2 linked regions of the Solanum lycopersicum genome follow. The protein of the gene in region 1 interacts with the protein of each later gene in a pairwise test. Links are inferred from orthologs where the notes say so. Each region holds a gene or a part of one and is shown on either strand. Other genes may lie near its edges.

Evidence for each region. The genes of interacting proteins can lie anywhere in the genome.
Region 2: the proteins of CAND1 (region 1) and GATA transcription factor 24 interact in binary tests that used the Arabidopsis thaliana proteins (3 or more experiments, as listed by UniProt). The link is inferred for Solanum lycopersicum from reciprocal best matches to the Arabidopsis thaliana genes CAND1 and ZML1.

The regions. Positions count from the first base shown.
Region 1 is NC_090800.1:87,680,382-87,687,413, forward strand, and holds part of CAND1 (cullin-associated NEDD8-dissociated protein 1), read left to right. Parts: intron 1-55; coding exon 56-154; intron 155-661; coding exon 662-772; intron 773-847; coding exon 848-931; intron 932-1,007; coding exon 1,008-1,148; intron 1,149-1,658; coding exon 1,659-1,751; intron 1,752-1,850; coding exon 1,851-1,972; intron 1,973-2,088; coding exon 2,089-2,251; intron 2,252-2,329; coding exon 2,330-2,569; intron 2,570-3,658; coding exon 3,659-3,907; intron 3,908-4,001; coding exon 4,002-4,178; intron 4,179-4,277; coding exon 4,278-4,424; intron 4,425-4,687; coding exon 4,688-4,804; intron 4,805-5,874; coding exon 5,875-6,043; intron 6,044-6,256; coding exon 6,257-6,334; intron 6,335-6,407; coding exon 6,408-6,546; intron 6,547-6,944; coding exon 6,945-7,032. UniProt on the Arabidopsis thaliana protein: Key assembly factor of SCF (SKP1-CUL1-F-box protein) E3 ubiquitin ligase complexes that promotes the exchange of the substrate-recognition F-box subunit in SCF complexes, thereby playing a key role in the cellular repertoire of SCF complexes.
Region 2 is NC_090800.1:90,034,383-90,042,001, reverse strand, and holds the start of GATA transcription factor 24, read right to left. Parts: upstream 4,572-7,619; 5' UTR 4,381-4,571; coding exon 3,979-4,380; intron 3,035-3,978; coding exon 2,951-3,034; intron 2,865-2,950; coding exon 2,731-2,864; intron 813-2,730; coding exon 705-812; intron 344-704; coding exon 238-343; intron 1-237. Other genes in the region: KH domain-containing protein HEN4, read right to left, coding at 5,328-5,459, 5,586-5,697, 5,927-6,009, 6,101-6,394. UniProt on the Arabidopsis thaliana protein: Transcriptional activator that specifically binds 5'-GATA-3' or 5'-GAT-3' motifs within gene promoters.

The sequences.
Region 1 (7,032 bases):
TGGATTTTGTTTCTTCTTTTATTATATTAAATGTTGCCATTGGTGTGCTGAACAGGAAAAATCTTCCACATCGAATTTAAAGATTGAAGCCCTCATATTTACAAGATTAGTGTTAGCATCACATTCACCACCTGTTTTCCACCCACATATTAAGGTAAGCCATCTTGATGCTTATCTGCTTTATACAATTTTAGCAGATCAAATGCATACCTGGACTGGTGTGAACTCATGGTACCGTGTTTTGAAAAGCTTAAAAATTATGGGCGTCCTACTTCTCACATAAAAACACAAAGAAAGGTTGAGAAATGGTTGTAATCTTGCATAAATATGATTTTATACATTGATTCGTGTGTACTTGTATAGCACTTTGTCAAAGGTTGTAATATATATGGGTGACCTACTTTTCACATAGTAAATTAAAAAAAAACATAATTTCTTTATTCAGCCTAGTTGTATGGCTTCATTCCTTGACTGGTCAATGCTGAGATGATCTAATAATGCTATATCCTCCTTTTTATTTGTGAAGTCTGTCGTTTCCCCCCTGTGATTTTGAAAAATTTTCTCGAATTAATTTTTTGCGTTTCCTTCGAATAAATGGTCAGAAAATAGAAATCATTTGTCTAACAATTCTTTGACTATACTCTCTGTTTTTGTTAACTAGGCTATAACTAGTCCTGTTATATTGGCTGTTGGTGAGCGGTATTACAAAGTTACTGCAGATGCATTAAGAGTTTGTGGTGAGCTTGTACGGGTGTTGCGGCCAAAGATTGAGGTTAGGTTTCTTTTACTTTGCCAATCAACAACTTGTATTAGTTCTATCTGAAGCACTGATTATGTTGCCTTTTAGGGTTCAACCTTTGATTTCAAACCCTATGTTCTTCCAATATATAATGCCATCATGGTGCGTTTGACAAACCAAGATCAGGATCAGGTTAGTTGTGCTTGCTTGAGAAATGAATATTTTCGTATGTAAATTGATGTTTATCTAAACTGTGCTCGACTCCCAGGAGGTTAAGGAGTCTGCAATTACTTGCATGGGGCTCGTAGTTTCAACATTTGGTGATCACCTGCATGCTGAATTACCTGCATGTCTTCCAGTTCTGGTGGATCGAATGGGCAATGAAATAACTAGATTGACAGCTGTCAAGGTTTGTTTGACATTAACTTCTTAGGGATTGAACTCTATCTATGACTAGGTTGTTTAGCTTTTGGCATCTATTTTCTCATCAGGCAAGACCTTAATCACAAAAATGAATATAAATTGGAAAAAGGTACAAGTACTTGAACAATTCAACAATTTTACTTGTACATCAGGAACTATGGGATCAAAGAAAATGATCAATTTAAGATGTCAACTTTTGCATCTTCGTGATGCTTTGTTAATTTTAACTTATTCTTCGAACCCAAAAAAGGGAAAATGAACATTTCAGATTTTGGCTCATGAGTTGGTATGGCCAGAAAATAGAATTATCCCTTGTGTAACAGTATTATAGAATTACTTTACCTCCCCTCTACTCTCACCGTTTCCTAGGCAGGACTTCTGACCTTCAGTACTGCCAATATTCTTGCTCTTCCCATGGCAAGTGGTTTAAATTACATGCTGCTTTGGTTGCATTGATTTGATTGAAATTTTCTCAGAGTGCATACCTTCTTTGCAGGCTTTTGCTGTCATAGCTGCTTCTCCATTGCACCTAGACCTCTCATGTGTCATCGAGCAAGTGATTTCTGAGTTAACTGCATTCTTACGCAAGGTGAAACTAGATGTTCTGAAATGTTAACAACTTAGGAAAAAATTCATTGCATTTTATATTATGAGGAAGTCTCAAAAGTTTGCTACTTTTGGAGGGTAGGCCAATCGAGCTCTCAGACAAGCTACTCTAGGGACCTTGAACACCCTCATTGTTGCTTATGGTGATAAAATTGGATCTGCTGCGTATGAAGTTATTGTTATGGAACTTTCTACGCTAATTAGGTTTGTATTTTGATTCATTTGATTTACTAATTTTCACATGTCATATGTTCCTACAATATTTCAATCTTAAATTGTGTCATTAATATCTTCTCACTTTTGATTCATCTGGACTTTAGTGACTCAGACTTGCACATGACAGCCCTTGCGCTGGAGCTTTGTTGTACATTAATGGCTGACAGAAGGTCAAGTGCTAATGTGGGTTTGACTGTAAGAAGCAAAGTTCTTCCTCAAGCCTTGACACTAGTGAGAAGTTCACTGCTTCAGGGGCAAGCCCTTCTGGTACTTCCTTGTTTCTCTTGGTCTCAGTTTTGATCTAGGCTGTTTTCTTATGCGAAACTCACTTCTATTAATATGCAGGCCCTTCAAAACTTTTTTGCTGCATTGGTTTACTCTGCCAATACAAGCTTCGATACTCTGCTAGATTCTCTACTTTCAACAGCGAAACCATCTCCTCAGTCTGGTGGTGTTACCAAACAAGCTCTCTTTTCCATCGGTCAATGTGTGGCAGTTCTTTGTCTTGCCGCTGGTGATCGGAAGTGTTCTTCTACTGTAAACATGTTAACAGACAGCCTGAAAGATGATAGTAGTACTAATTCGGTAGGCCCTTTATTTATTTAGTTGCATCTTGGATAAGTTGTTTGAATAAGTTGTTTGTTGCTGTTGAATTGTATGTCTATCTCATCTAAAGACTTGAGTCGTTAGAGTAGTCTACTTGAATTGTATGCCTTCAACATGCTAATATGCCCCCCCACTCACTTGATTCTTTTCCGTGGGGCAAGCATGCTACAAATTTTTGGATAGTGGGTGGCGGTGTGACATGAATCCAAGACCTTTTGCCTGCTTTGCTACCATTTCAAGGAAATACACCTTGGGTTTAACTCAACCCTTGAAGTTACTCTTTCATTGTGAGGATTACTCGAGACCATGATAGTAGGTAATAACCCATTGTTCTACCGATTGTAACAATCTTAGCCACTAGTGATACTGCCACTTTGTGTTTAAGCTTTGCAGGCTAAAAAGTGTATCATTAGAGTTTCAAAGCTTACTTCTTTATATACCTAGCATCTCTCTCATGTTTGCCAATTGTGAGGATATGCTTAGGGTCATACAACCCCTATAGTTGGAGTGGAATGGCTCTGATACCATGCAAAAATGAAAGAAATGATCATGGCCTTAACTTGATTCAAAAGCTAGCTTGTGATGTGAAATTGTCCAAGGCCACCCATAAGGAGACAACAATATATATCATCAACCATATTGGCACTCTAATAAGAAATTACCCACACATCTAGGACTGAAGATTTGAACTGTGGATAACAAGTGTGCTCCGCACACTGATGTCATTTTCCTAACATGACATGTTAAGAAAATGAACATTAAATGCTAAAAGTTAGTTTATGAAGGAGTATTCGAAAGCGTACAAGGAAATTTGATATGATGACATTTTCTGTTTTTCATTAGCTTTTGTATTTTGTTAGCAGTTGTGGCAAACTACTGACACACATAATAAATGACAAAGCAAATTTCCTGAGTTTAGACTTTTTTTTAAAATAGACCATGGATAAGAAAATGGTTCTGCCATTGAGAATTATAAGTTTATATGACATTGTTTCTTCTGCTTTCTTCAAATGGTACTAATAACTGTAAGAGAACCCTGTTTTTTCTGAGTTCAGTTATCCTTTTCAGGCCAAGCAACATCTTGCCTTGCTATGTTTAGGGGAAATTGGAAGGAGAAAGGACTTAAGTCCACATGCCCATATCGAAAATATTGTCATCGAGTCCTTCCAATCACCTTTTGAAGAGATAAAGTCAGCTGCCTCTTATGCTCTAGGAAACATTGCTGTGGGTAATCTACCAAAGTATTTACCCTTTATCTTAGACAAAATAGACAATCAGCAGAAGAAGCAGTACCTACTGCTCCATTCTTTGAAAGAGGTATCTACATTTTAGATGGTCTCTTATTTCAGAAATTCTTTTCCCTCCAAGCTAATTGCTTTCTGGACTCATCGTGATATGTGGTTGCCAACAGGTCATAGTGAGACAGTCTGTGGATAATGCTGAATTCCAGGATTCAAGTGTAGATAAAATACTTAATTTGCTCTTTAATCATTGTGAAAGTGATGAAGAGGGCGTTAGGAATGTTGTAGCTGAGTGCCTGGGAAAAATTGCACTTATTGAACCTGGCAAGCTTGTTCCTGCATTGAAGGTACAACTAATGATATATTTCTTTCCTGTAAATGATTTCGTTTTGCACTTGATGTTCTGTCTGCAAATTTGACTATTTATTACTATAATTTTTGTGTAGGATCGGATTAGTAATCCAGCAGCGTTCACCAGAGCGACTGTTGTAATTGCTGTGAAATATTCCATAGTTGAGCGACCCGAGAAGATAGATGAAATCTTGTCTCGTGAAATTTCATCCTTCTTAGTGCTTATAAAGGATAAAGACCGGGTATTCCTAATTTGATGTCAAGAACTTTTTCCATTTCCGTAAAAATTTACTGGTCCCCCCCCCTCCTCCCCCCTCCTCCCCCCCCCCCCCCCCCAAAAAAAATCACATGCAGTCACCCCAAAGCCCCCCAGTCCAGTGATGTCGTGTTTACTTTTATGCTGTTCGTTTCTTTATAGTTCTCCTTTTAACAGTCATCTCTTGCAGTCTTTCATTATATCTTCCCCTAATTTAACTTCTCATCACATGCTTTGTTTATTGTGCAGCATGTTAGGCGTGCAGCTGTCCTGGCCTTGAGTACTGCAGCTCATAACAAGCCTAACCTGATTAAGGGCCTTCTACTTGAACTCTTGCCACTTCTCTATGATCAGACTATAATTAAGGTGACAAATATCTCCTTAAAATTTAATCAGTTTTTTGTGCATTTTAGTTTAGGTTGTATTTCAAGGCACTTGAAACTGGGGCACACCACCTTCCTTTTGTCTACATATGTTCGTACCAGATTGGCACAATTTATGTGTACATGCACTGGCGAAACTCCAACTCTTGGTTCTTTGAGATATGTATTTGATTGCTGTTTTAAAGCTATGGGCCCAAGGATTACACTACATCCTGCTGAATACTCTTATTCCCGAGTAGTAGAATAATTGCATGCAAGTATTATCTACAATTCATTGATTAAACATATCATCTTTCTTTGTATTTTTGTATTTATACTTATTTGAAGCTTTAATCGTGTGAGTCAGAGATGGATAACTGTAGATTAAAGTTTGGCTAGATGGTGGTATGAAATAATAGGCTTGTTTCATCTCCCCACGAGCATAATGCCATGATATTCCAAATCTCCAGTTAATTGACCAAGACAACTGTTGGATGTTATCAGCTAGCATGCCGATAACATTATTCCATATACGGTGGTATAAATTGTGAAGTCGAAGATGCAATTAAGTAAATGCATACCCTAAGTTGGAATGGGCCAGACTTTGCCTATGATCTTATTGCTAATCTTTATATGTACAATTTGTGAACATGATCATCTTATGGGCATCTGTCTCAAGTAAATTAGGACTAGGACATGTTTGTGCCCATATAGTCATATATTCTTGGCATTCACCTTATTAGAGGTTTGTTGCTTTTGTTTAGCAGCCTCATTTGACATCCCATGTTGGTTAATTCTTTCAAATTCAGAACCCTCTCCTCATATGTGGACAATTATCTTACAGTTATCGTGGAAATAAGAACAAAGAGAACCTGTACTGATCCTACTCATGGATCCTATCATTTAGGACAGTATATGCGTGATTGTTGTCTAAAAGTTAGATTAATTGCGTCTCATAATTAAAGATAATTCAGGACCTATCAATTATTCCTAACCTTGTACTTTAGGAGTGTCACTAATAACAGTTGATTGGTGGCATTCTCTATCATTGATTATGCTTCTTTCCTCTTGCAGAAAGAATTGATAAGAACGGTTGATCTAGGTCCCTTCAAGCATACAGTCGATGATGGACTAGAACTGAGAAAGGCAGCTTTTGAATGTGTAGACACATTGCTAGACACTTGTCTTGATCAAGTGAATCCCTCATCTTTCATTGTCCCATATCTTCAATCTGGTTTGGATGGTAAGTTGATAGCTTGTGATAGACCCGATTCTTCTATTGTTATCTCTATTTTTCCAAATGTGGTGTTCTGATTCTTGATTTGATTTTATTGATGTCTGCAAATTCTATTTTTTTGGGGATGGGTGTGGCCGTGTGGTAGCATCATTGGACATGTCACTGCGCTCACATGCAATTATTTTACTGCTGAACTGAATCTTTTGCCTCTTCTCCCAGATCATTATGATGTTAAAATGCCATGCCACCTTATCCTTTCTAAACTTGCTGATAAGTGTCCTTCAGCGGTATTAGCAGGTATAGTCTTTTTGCTGCTTTTTCTCCTTCTAATGAACCAGTTTGTTATGTTTACAATACATTGCTTTTGCAGTTCTGGACTCTTTGGTGGATCCTCTGCAGAAAACAATAAATTTCAGACCAAAACAGGATGCTGTCAAGCAAGAGGTTGATCGCAATGAAGACATGATTCGAAGTGCCCTTCGGGCAATTGCAGCCTTAAATCGTATCAGGTAAGTCTTTTTTTAGTGTCCCCTTGAAATGATTGTGCTTTTGTTGACATGTGTCTTGAATCAATAATTTAGGGGGATGACCTTCTCTTATCCTTTTCGTATTTTTCTTGTTCTTTCTGTGAAAATGGAAGATTTCTATTTCTTTCCCAGTGTAGCATATTTCAGATTTTTCATACCAAAATGAAGTTATGAGTCATCAGCTCATCTACTGCTACTTTTGATTAGGACTGCCTTTAGGGCAATATACAAGTGTTATAAACTAAGCTCGATATCCATGTGTGAAAAGGAAAATATTCTTGTTGCAATTTGATACCTCTGTTTCCTTTCCTCTCTTCTTTTCTCGATCTTCCTTGTTTGCCTGACCTTAGTAATGTATTTGTTGCTCCCATTGTTTGCAGTGGAGGTGACTACAGCCACAAGCTCAAGAATCTAATGGTGGAAATTGAGAAGACATCACTCTGGGACAAGTATTGTTGTATCAGGAAT
Region 2 (7,619 bases), about 2.4 Mb from region 1:
ACTATTGGAGCACACATGATATCCTAGTCATCAATGCATGCTATTTGCACCGAACGTCCGAACCATATCTTTCCCTAGAATTCTCTACTTATACATCTCGTTCTCAAACAATGAAAATGTGAATGGGTGGGAACTAATAATAAGTAATATTGATCATGGAGCAAATCATCACGAGGCATTTATGCCTATTCAAATAAAAACCATGGAAATGAGTAAAATTTTCAACTCAATACTAACCTTATTGGCCCACTTGAGTCCACATGCATTACAAAGAGACCTTGGGCCAGCTGGTCCCCGACGCATCATAGGAGTGGATTTCGAACTAATATTGCAATGTCTACATCTGTTGAGAAATGGAAAGAGAAACTTCTCAGAAAGATGTCAATTGTATTTAAAGTGATCGGTAACCTCTGAACCTCGAGACCATGTAAAATTGAATCTGCTGTAAAATGACCACAGATTTACATCAAATTCAATGACGGAAGACAGAACAACTACAGAGAAGGGAGGTATAGCCTAGTGTCCTACACCTCCAACCGTGAAGTCAGGGCGTTCGAGTGACTAAGGGACAAAAGTGTGAAATGCCACTGTTGGCTCCTAAGGGGAATTTTTTAATTGTTCTAGTCAAGGGGAATTTTTGGGGGTGGTAAACATATTATAACTTGAAAAAAGGAAAATCAACTACTACAGAAAATGGAACTCACGATGTTTCCTGCTCTTCTTGACCAGAGCCTTCATTCCAATCTGCAGAAGAACCTACTTCGTCAGGTATTGACTTGGCAGATGTAAACTGACCTTTCTTGCGCTGCATCCTGAAAATATAACATAGATCAGATGAGACAACTGAAAAGAACAAATAAAAGGACCTAGTCTAAACCATGAACTTCAACTACAAGACTGATGAAAATATAGACAAGGACTGAAATTAATAACTTCAAAAACCTAACAGGGACCCATAACCCCTCCCTCTAGAAGAATGAAGTAAGAGAAAATAAAATTAAATCATATTGACTAGAGAAAGAACTAGCATAACATCTAAGGATACCTGCACAAATTGCATGGTCAGATGTCACTATAGACATCCTTTAGCAAAAGTCGTTTCACTTGCATGGGTTGGAAGCAGTTGCCTATAATTAAAATATTCCGCAGTTGAAGATTGATGCATGGCCACATGAGAGGAGCTAGTAAAATATCCGTTCTTGCACCCGAGGGTATGGCATAGTCAGTAGTCAATAAAGTAATGGAACTAAAACAAGTCTTGGTGCTCTATTGCATAATGTGGTCTTCGATATTATGCAAAAATCATTATTATATTTTATACTAAATGTGGAAAGACCTCAACTCTAAAGTTGAATAACCAAATTGTCCATCAAAAGTTAATGGGCCATTTTCCCCTTCTTTTTTTTTAAAAAAGGCTTCTAATAAATGAATAAAATAATAATTCAGCTACACTAAATTGGAAATGGGAGTGCTCTTACATCTTCTCGTACTTGCTTTAATTATTGTCATTTATCCACAGTTTTGTAACTCAGACCATTTTTAGTAGTAGTATTTATGTGCTTTTTCAGTTTTAATATATTATGCCAATGGGCTATTTGATAATTGAGAAATCCCCAAGACCAAGGCGAACAGCTTGAAACTCGGTGGAAAGAGGCCTGCGCATTTACCATTCTCCATTTAAATACCACACTTTTGTTTGTGGTAGGGTTAAATTTGTGGAGTGCGCCTAACCCCCACATCACAGACTGTGTTCTTATCACTAGAGCAAGGATTGGGGGACAATAATTTCAAGTTTTCATATAATGAAGTGCACTACTTTAGCGCCAGTTGTACCAATGCTCCGAAGTCCACAAAACTATGGGACATTTGCATTGATAGAATATAAGGCGCTCAGTAGGAGGTCATGTCTCATCCTTTAAATACTATTACACCTCCCTTCCCTCTTATAGGATAATGTTTTCACCACTAATTATCCTATTATATTTCCAATGTCAACCTAGTGCACTACAATGTCCTCGCTATAGCATTCTTTAGTTAGTTCTACCTCATTCCTTAAAATGCTGTAGTTGACCTTTTCTTATACACAAACCTAAGGTAAAGAGGAAGTGAGAATTTTGTCTCACGGCAACTGTTTTTTAGCAGTCAGGTCATTTAGAAATTACATATTCACATTCAAACAATGTCTTAGATATGAAATAAGTGTGTGCAGCTCGGGGGCACTCTGCTTTTTAAAGATAAAGTAAGATGCACCTCAGGTGATCCTGCCATATTTCAGTCATGACATACTCCACTCTTTTTTACTTTTTCAGGTAATTCTGTAGAAAATTACAAAAAGTTGGAGTTGACTCGTAGCATTCGCCAAGTCCAGCAGGTCAGCCAGTTGAAAATAATGTTGCTTTAAGATAAATGCTCCTTTTGCCTTCAAAACACCTCCTACACCATTCCAGTCAAATAGTTCAAGCAATGCATAAAGCTGATATAAAGCATCTGCCGCAGAGCTAGACGCCCCTCGTGTATAACAATTTGCAAATGTCTTTCCTACTCTTATTGTCAACTTAATTTAGAAGGGTGAATTAGTCCTATCAATCATTAGCACAGCGAATGGACAATTACAGATGGGACATCTATCGCAACAGACATCAATTTGCACATTATCTCCACCTAGTTCCGAATATGGTTCAAACAAGCAGACAAAACAACATCATGCATTAAAAACTACAGTTTTATTACCTCATCGCAACTTCCTTCCGCACAGTATAGCGGATCTTTTTATCAAAACACCGTTCTTTCCTCTTTTCCCTAAAACGATTTAAAGAAGCAGCTCTTTCCGGTTGATTTAATCTTCCAGGAAAGTCACCTGAAGCCTGTGAATATTGCCGCGGAAGTGCCATAACTGATTATAAACCACCAGTCTGGTAAAAAAATGTAAGGGGAAGATAAAGATGAATACCCTCTGACTTTGGGGAACCACATTTACAGCAGGGATACCAGGAGGGACTTCGTATCCCCCCAACAGTAACAGCACCGCCTGAACCTAAAACTCAATAAACATAAAAACAGAATTTACCCCTATTAAGATTATTGTAAATATCAAAATGAAGTTTTAAATCCACTAATTGTGAATCAAATTCCACTACCTGATACATATACTAAACAGTTTTTCTAAAAGAGCAAAAAAAAGCAATAAGGACCATGGAGCTTGAAGCGAAAAGTGAGAAGTAAACAGCACACACATTTGAAGTGAAACACACAATTCTCAACGTCAAAAAAAATTCTTAAGTATGTGAATTTAGCACTGTAACGATCAGATTGCAATAAAACGAACTAATTTCAGTATCCATAAATCTTACTCTTCTAAGTTGAGATTCAGAGCATCAACGACTTCTTATTTGGATCACTCTGTGCATCATTTTTAACACTTCTATGAAGTGCATGACTTCACCTATGAGCGATAACCCCTCACTCAGCATCGGTGCATAGATTTTAATTACAGTGATACTAAAATCGTGCCAGTGAGAATCACTCTTACTCGTGGAAGATAAAAAAGATCAGCATGGCCTCTTTGCTTCATAATTTGATCAATATCAAACAATTCACCGTACACACTAACCAATTCGCCAATCAAATACAATCTAATCTCAGAAACGACCAGTTTCGGAGTCTTGAAATACCTCAACAACTCCAAAAGTCGAGTGAGAGTGAGGCAAGAACTTTTGGCCAAATACAGAATTATCCCCATCTCTAAAATTGAAAATCCTTCCCCCTAAGTCACTCAATCTCTTGTAGACAGACACAAAAAAAGCAAGAATCCAAGCAACACAAAAAAATTAAATGCAGACCAATCTCGCTAATTAAAAGAAACACCTTTTCAGCTAAACTTATAAAAGAACACACTACACAAGAACGAGCAAGATGCACAAATTAGAGGGCAAACATTTTTAGTAAGCACAAAAAGAGAGGTCAAAGTAAAAGAAATACCTTTTCAGGTGAAACGGCATCAAAAACGTACACTTCGCCTTGAAACGACAGCGTAAGCTGATCGGAAGCTCCACTACCAGCAGTAGGAACAATTTCGGAAGGAGGACCATACAAGGCGTTATGAGAAACACCTTCCACACCATTCATCTCCATAGAACCGCCGGCGCCGCCGTTGTGAAGCGCGTGAGAATGAGAGTGATGATGTTGGTCGTAGCGAATGTGAGGAGTAGGGTTGTCCATAGACTCTATTCCTCCCCCACCACTGCCACCGCCACCGACAGCAGCGACGACGTCGTCATCATCGTCGTCGTCGATCTGAGTTTGCTGGTGTCTATCTTGGTGAAGTGCAGCGTTCATCGTCTCCCGTCCGTACATGTTAGCTCTGCGATTTGCTTCTGCCATTTTTGACGTCGTTGATTTATATTTTCTAAAAAATAAAAATACTAAAAGACGTTATTACCCCCACACAGCTACTATGATCCAACAAATCTAGCTCCATAAGCTTTAGCCATATCCAAACAAACCCGAATCCTTAAGCCCCAAAAATGGGGTCGACAACAAGAGTTTCGTCCATGTAAACAAACCATTGTTCCAAATGATGAACATCATTTAATTTTTTTTAAAGATAGTATCGTTACTTTCATTTATTTTGACTTGAAAATAAAAGATAAGTCAAATTAAATTTGCAATATATGTATCATTTATATATGAAAAAATATATATTTATCAAAAAATAAATAATTAAATCAAAGCAAAAGCTAGCTTAAACGCGTGATAACACTCAAGCCGTATTACCATAGTTTATTTCCTAGGGCATAGATCAGGCTTCTTAATTGAACCAAATCAAGGAATTGTAATGTCATCCTTGTTGTCATTTTTCATATGTCATACGACGAACTGTATTAATTTATTCAATAAATGAAATCAAAATTTAATATTGGAAACACAAACTATATTAATCAATAATGACCATGTTTCTCCACTCTAAACTCATCTCAGGCCTACATTACTATGCAAAATAAAAGTAGTTAAAAGTTTCTCTAGTTGTTATAAGATTATCAGATGCAAGCAAATAAAGATGTCAACTAATCAATCCCCTTTCAAATGTAAGAAAAAACTTCTGCTCATGTTGACGGCATAGTCAAATTGGATAAATACCAAGTTAATTTCTTATTTCCTAACATATTAAAGACCAAAAAACTAATGTTTAATACCCTATCTAAAAATAAACAAACATCAGACTCATCACAACATAGTATACAAAATAAAAAGTGTACTTGGCTGTTGACATAGTTCTAACTGTACTAGTTCAGTATACAAAATTGGGATCCTCTTTGTTAAGTTCACGGTTATTCAGTCAGTATGAATGCCTGAAGAAGAGACTGAGCTGCCTGGGTTTCATCTGGGGTCCCAGAGATCACGATAATCCTGTCAGTTGTTCCAGGACGGGGCTCATGTACCATGACCCTAGCTCCTGAAATCTGATTCAGTTCCTCAGAAAGATCAATCACCAGCACAAAAATGAATGGAAGTACGAAGAAATATGAGTTTAAAAATCCCATGTACCTTCCACAAAACTAATTAATAAAGGGAAAGGGACAACATACCTGTCTTAAACGAGTCAAGTTGCTCCCGTCCTCCCCATACACACAGCCGATGATGTTTTCAGGAACCATGATCTTCACAGTAGTATTGGTCACAATGGCAGATCTGCTTCCACTGCAAGCAATAGAAAAATGCAACAAGCTGATGAATACAACCAAGAAATTTCTACTCAGGCTTCTAGATAATCTTACATATCTTTTCTCCAAGTCTATAATGACCATTTGGTAAATCTAGACAGGGAATTTTTTCGTACAAATCATATTATAGGGAGTCCACCCTCGTAAGTACATCCTGTCACAGGTGAAAAAGCATTAGCCGCTTGTGAAGAGTGGAAGACACCAACCTTCCAAGTTCCATGCCACCTTTAACTGAATTAGATCCTTTGCTGACATCAAAAGCACCTCTTTGGTTTACTCCAGGTCGTGTCTAATAGCCAAGCCCAGAGGAAATGTTCAAAGGTAAGTCGGTGAATGCACATTAAATTAAAGGGAAAATTAAACACTCAGCGGTTTATCACCTGTGATGACCACAGCCCCGGTGATGGGGGGTGATCTGTCTTGTTGGAAAGTACAAGGTTATTAATAGACCGCGTTAACTCAGGATGTTGATTGTTACCATGCGAGACACCACTAGACCGATGAAATCCAAAAGGAGGTTCCCTCATTTGGCCAGAGGGACTACTTTCAGATGTCAAAGGAGAGCTGTTTCTGCTGACACCACCATTTGACACCTTTGCTGCCAAGAGGTTATCACGCAACCGACCAGTGACATTTCGCAAAACATCTTGTACATTTACGAACTCGCCTGCAATCTATACAATACAATCTCAGTGCAACAGATACACCAAAATGTCTGATTTTATATATAGATTGATTTGACCAAGTTCAAGAAACCACATGTGAGTGAAAGGAAGTGTTTGATAAACTCCACATGATCTTATGAAAAGATCATTCTCCACAAAAAGGACATATCAAAAGAGTTCCTCTTCTATTTTAAATTACAAACTCTTCAAGTTTCATAAAGTAGTTAAATTTATAATATTATTGCGTAAAAAAGCAAACGACAGCTGCAATTTTGTTAAATGAACTATATTTACACTTTACAAAGACAAGCAAGACAATAAACATTGTTTTTGTTTTTTTTATATTGACTGTGCAACGCGGGTTCTAGTACTACTATATTAAGGAGAAGAGCCAAAATAGTTGTCTGTATTAACAAGCCTAAGGTTTTTTTTCCAGAGAAATTTCAGGATTCGGTCACAAGAAACTTGCATATTTTATAACTTAAAAAGTGCATTACTCTAATATTTTGACATCAAGTATATATCACCAAAAATTAATGAACTCGGTGCATATCCTTAAACTTAATGCACCAGTAAGTCAAACCTAGATGAACTAAAACGAAAATCATGATATGACGGACAATTTGCTCAATTATTCCAGAAAAGAACAATTTGTTCAATTTATCCAAAAAAGAATAATATACTCAATTTATCCAAAACTGGACAATTTACTCTCAAACTTAAAAGGTCAATGGTATGATAGAGAATGCGTGCAAACACGAATTAGCTTCCGAAGGTTGAGCAGTCTCAATTTCACAACAGGATTTGCGAATAAATGTTGGGTAGGGTCACCTTGAATGGCTTGAACCGCATAGGGGAAGTCCTGCAGGTACGTCGATTGGGTAATCTTTTCGACAAATCAGCAGGCACCACACGGCACACTAGAGGGACTGAGAAAAAATTGAGTACAATTCTTATCTTCTGGCTTTACCTTACTGACCGTTTGGAGGGCGATCCTGGATATGTATGGTTCTCTTTCGGATGATTGTTACCTATTGTATTGTATTCATGTATTGTATAATACAATGTTTTGATTGTCACTTATGAAAATTGGTAATTCACGTTTGTTTTGTTTGTTACTTAAGCTTTATTTTATAGTAAAGTCTATCAAGCAACAAGTTTCTCAACTATCTAAAAAAACAAATCATGCCTGTTTTTGACGAGGCAATTCTTATTACTCCTATATTTATTTGTT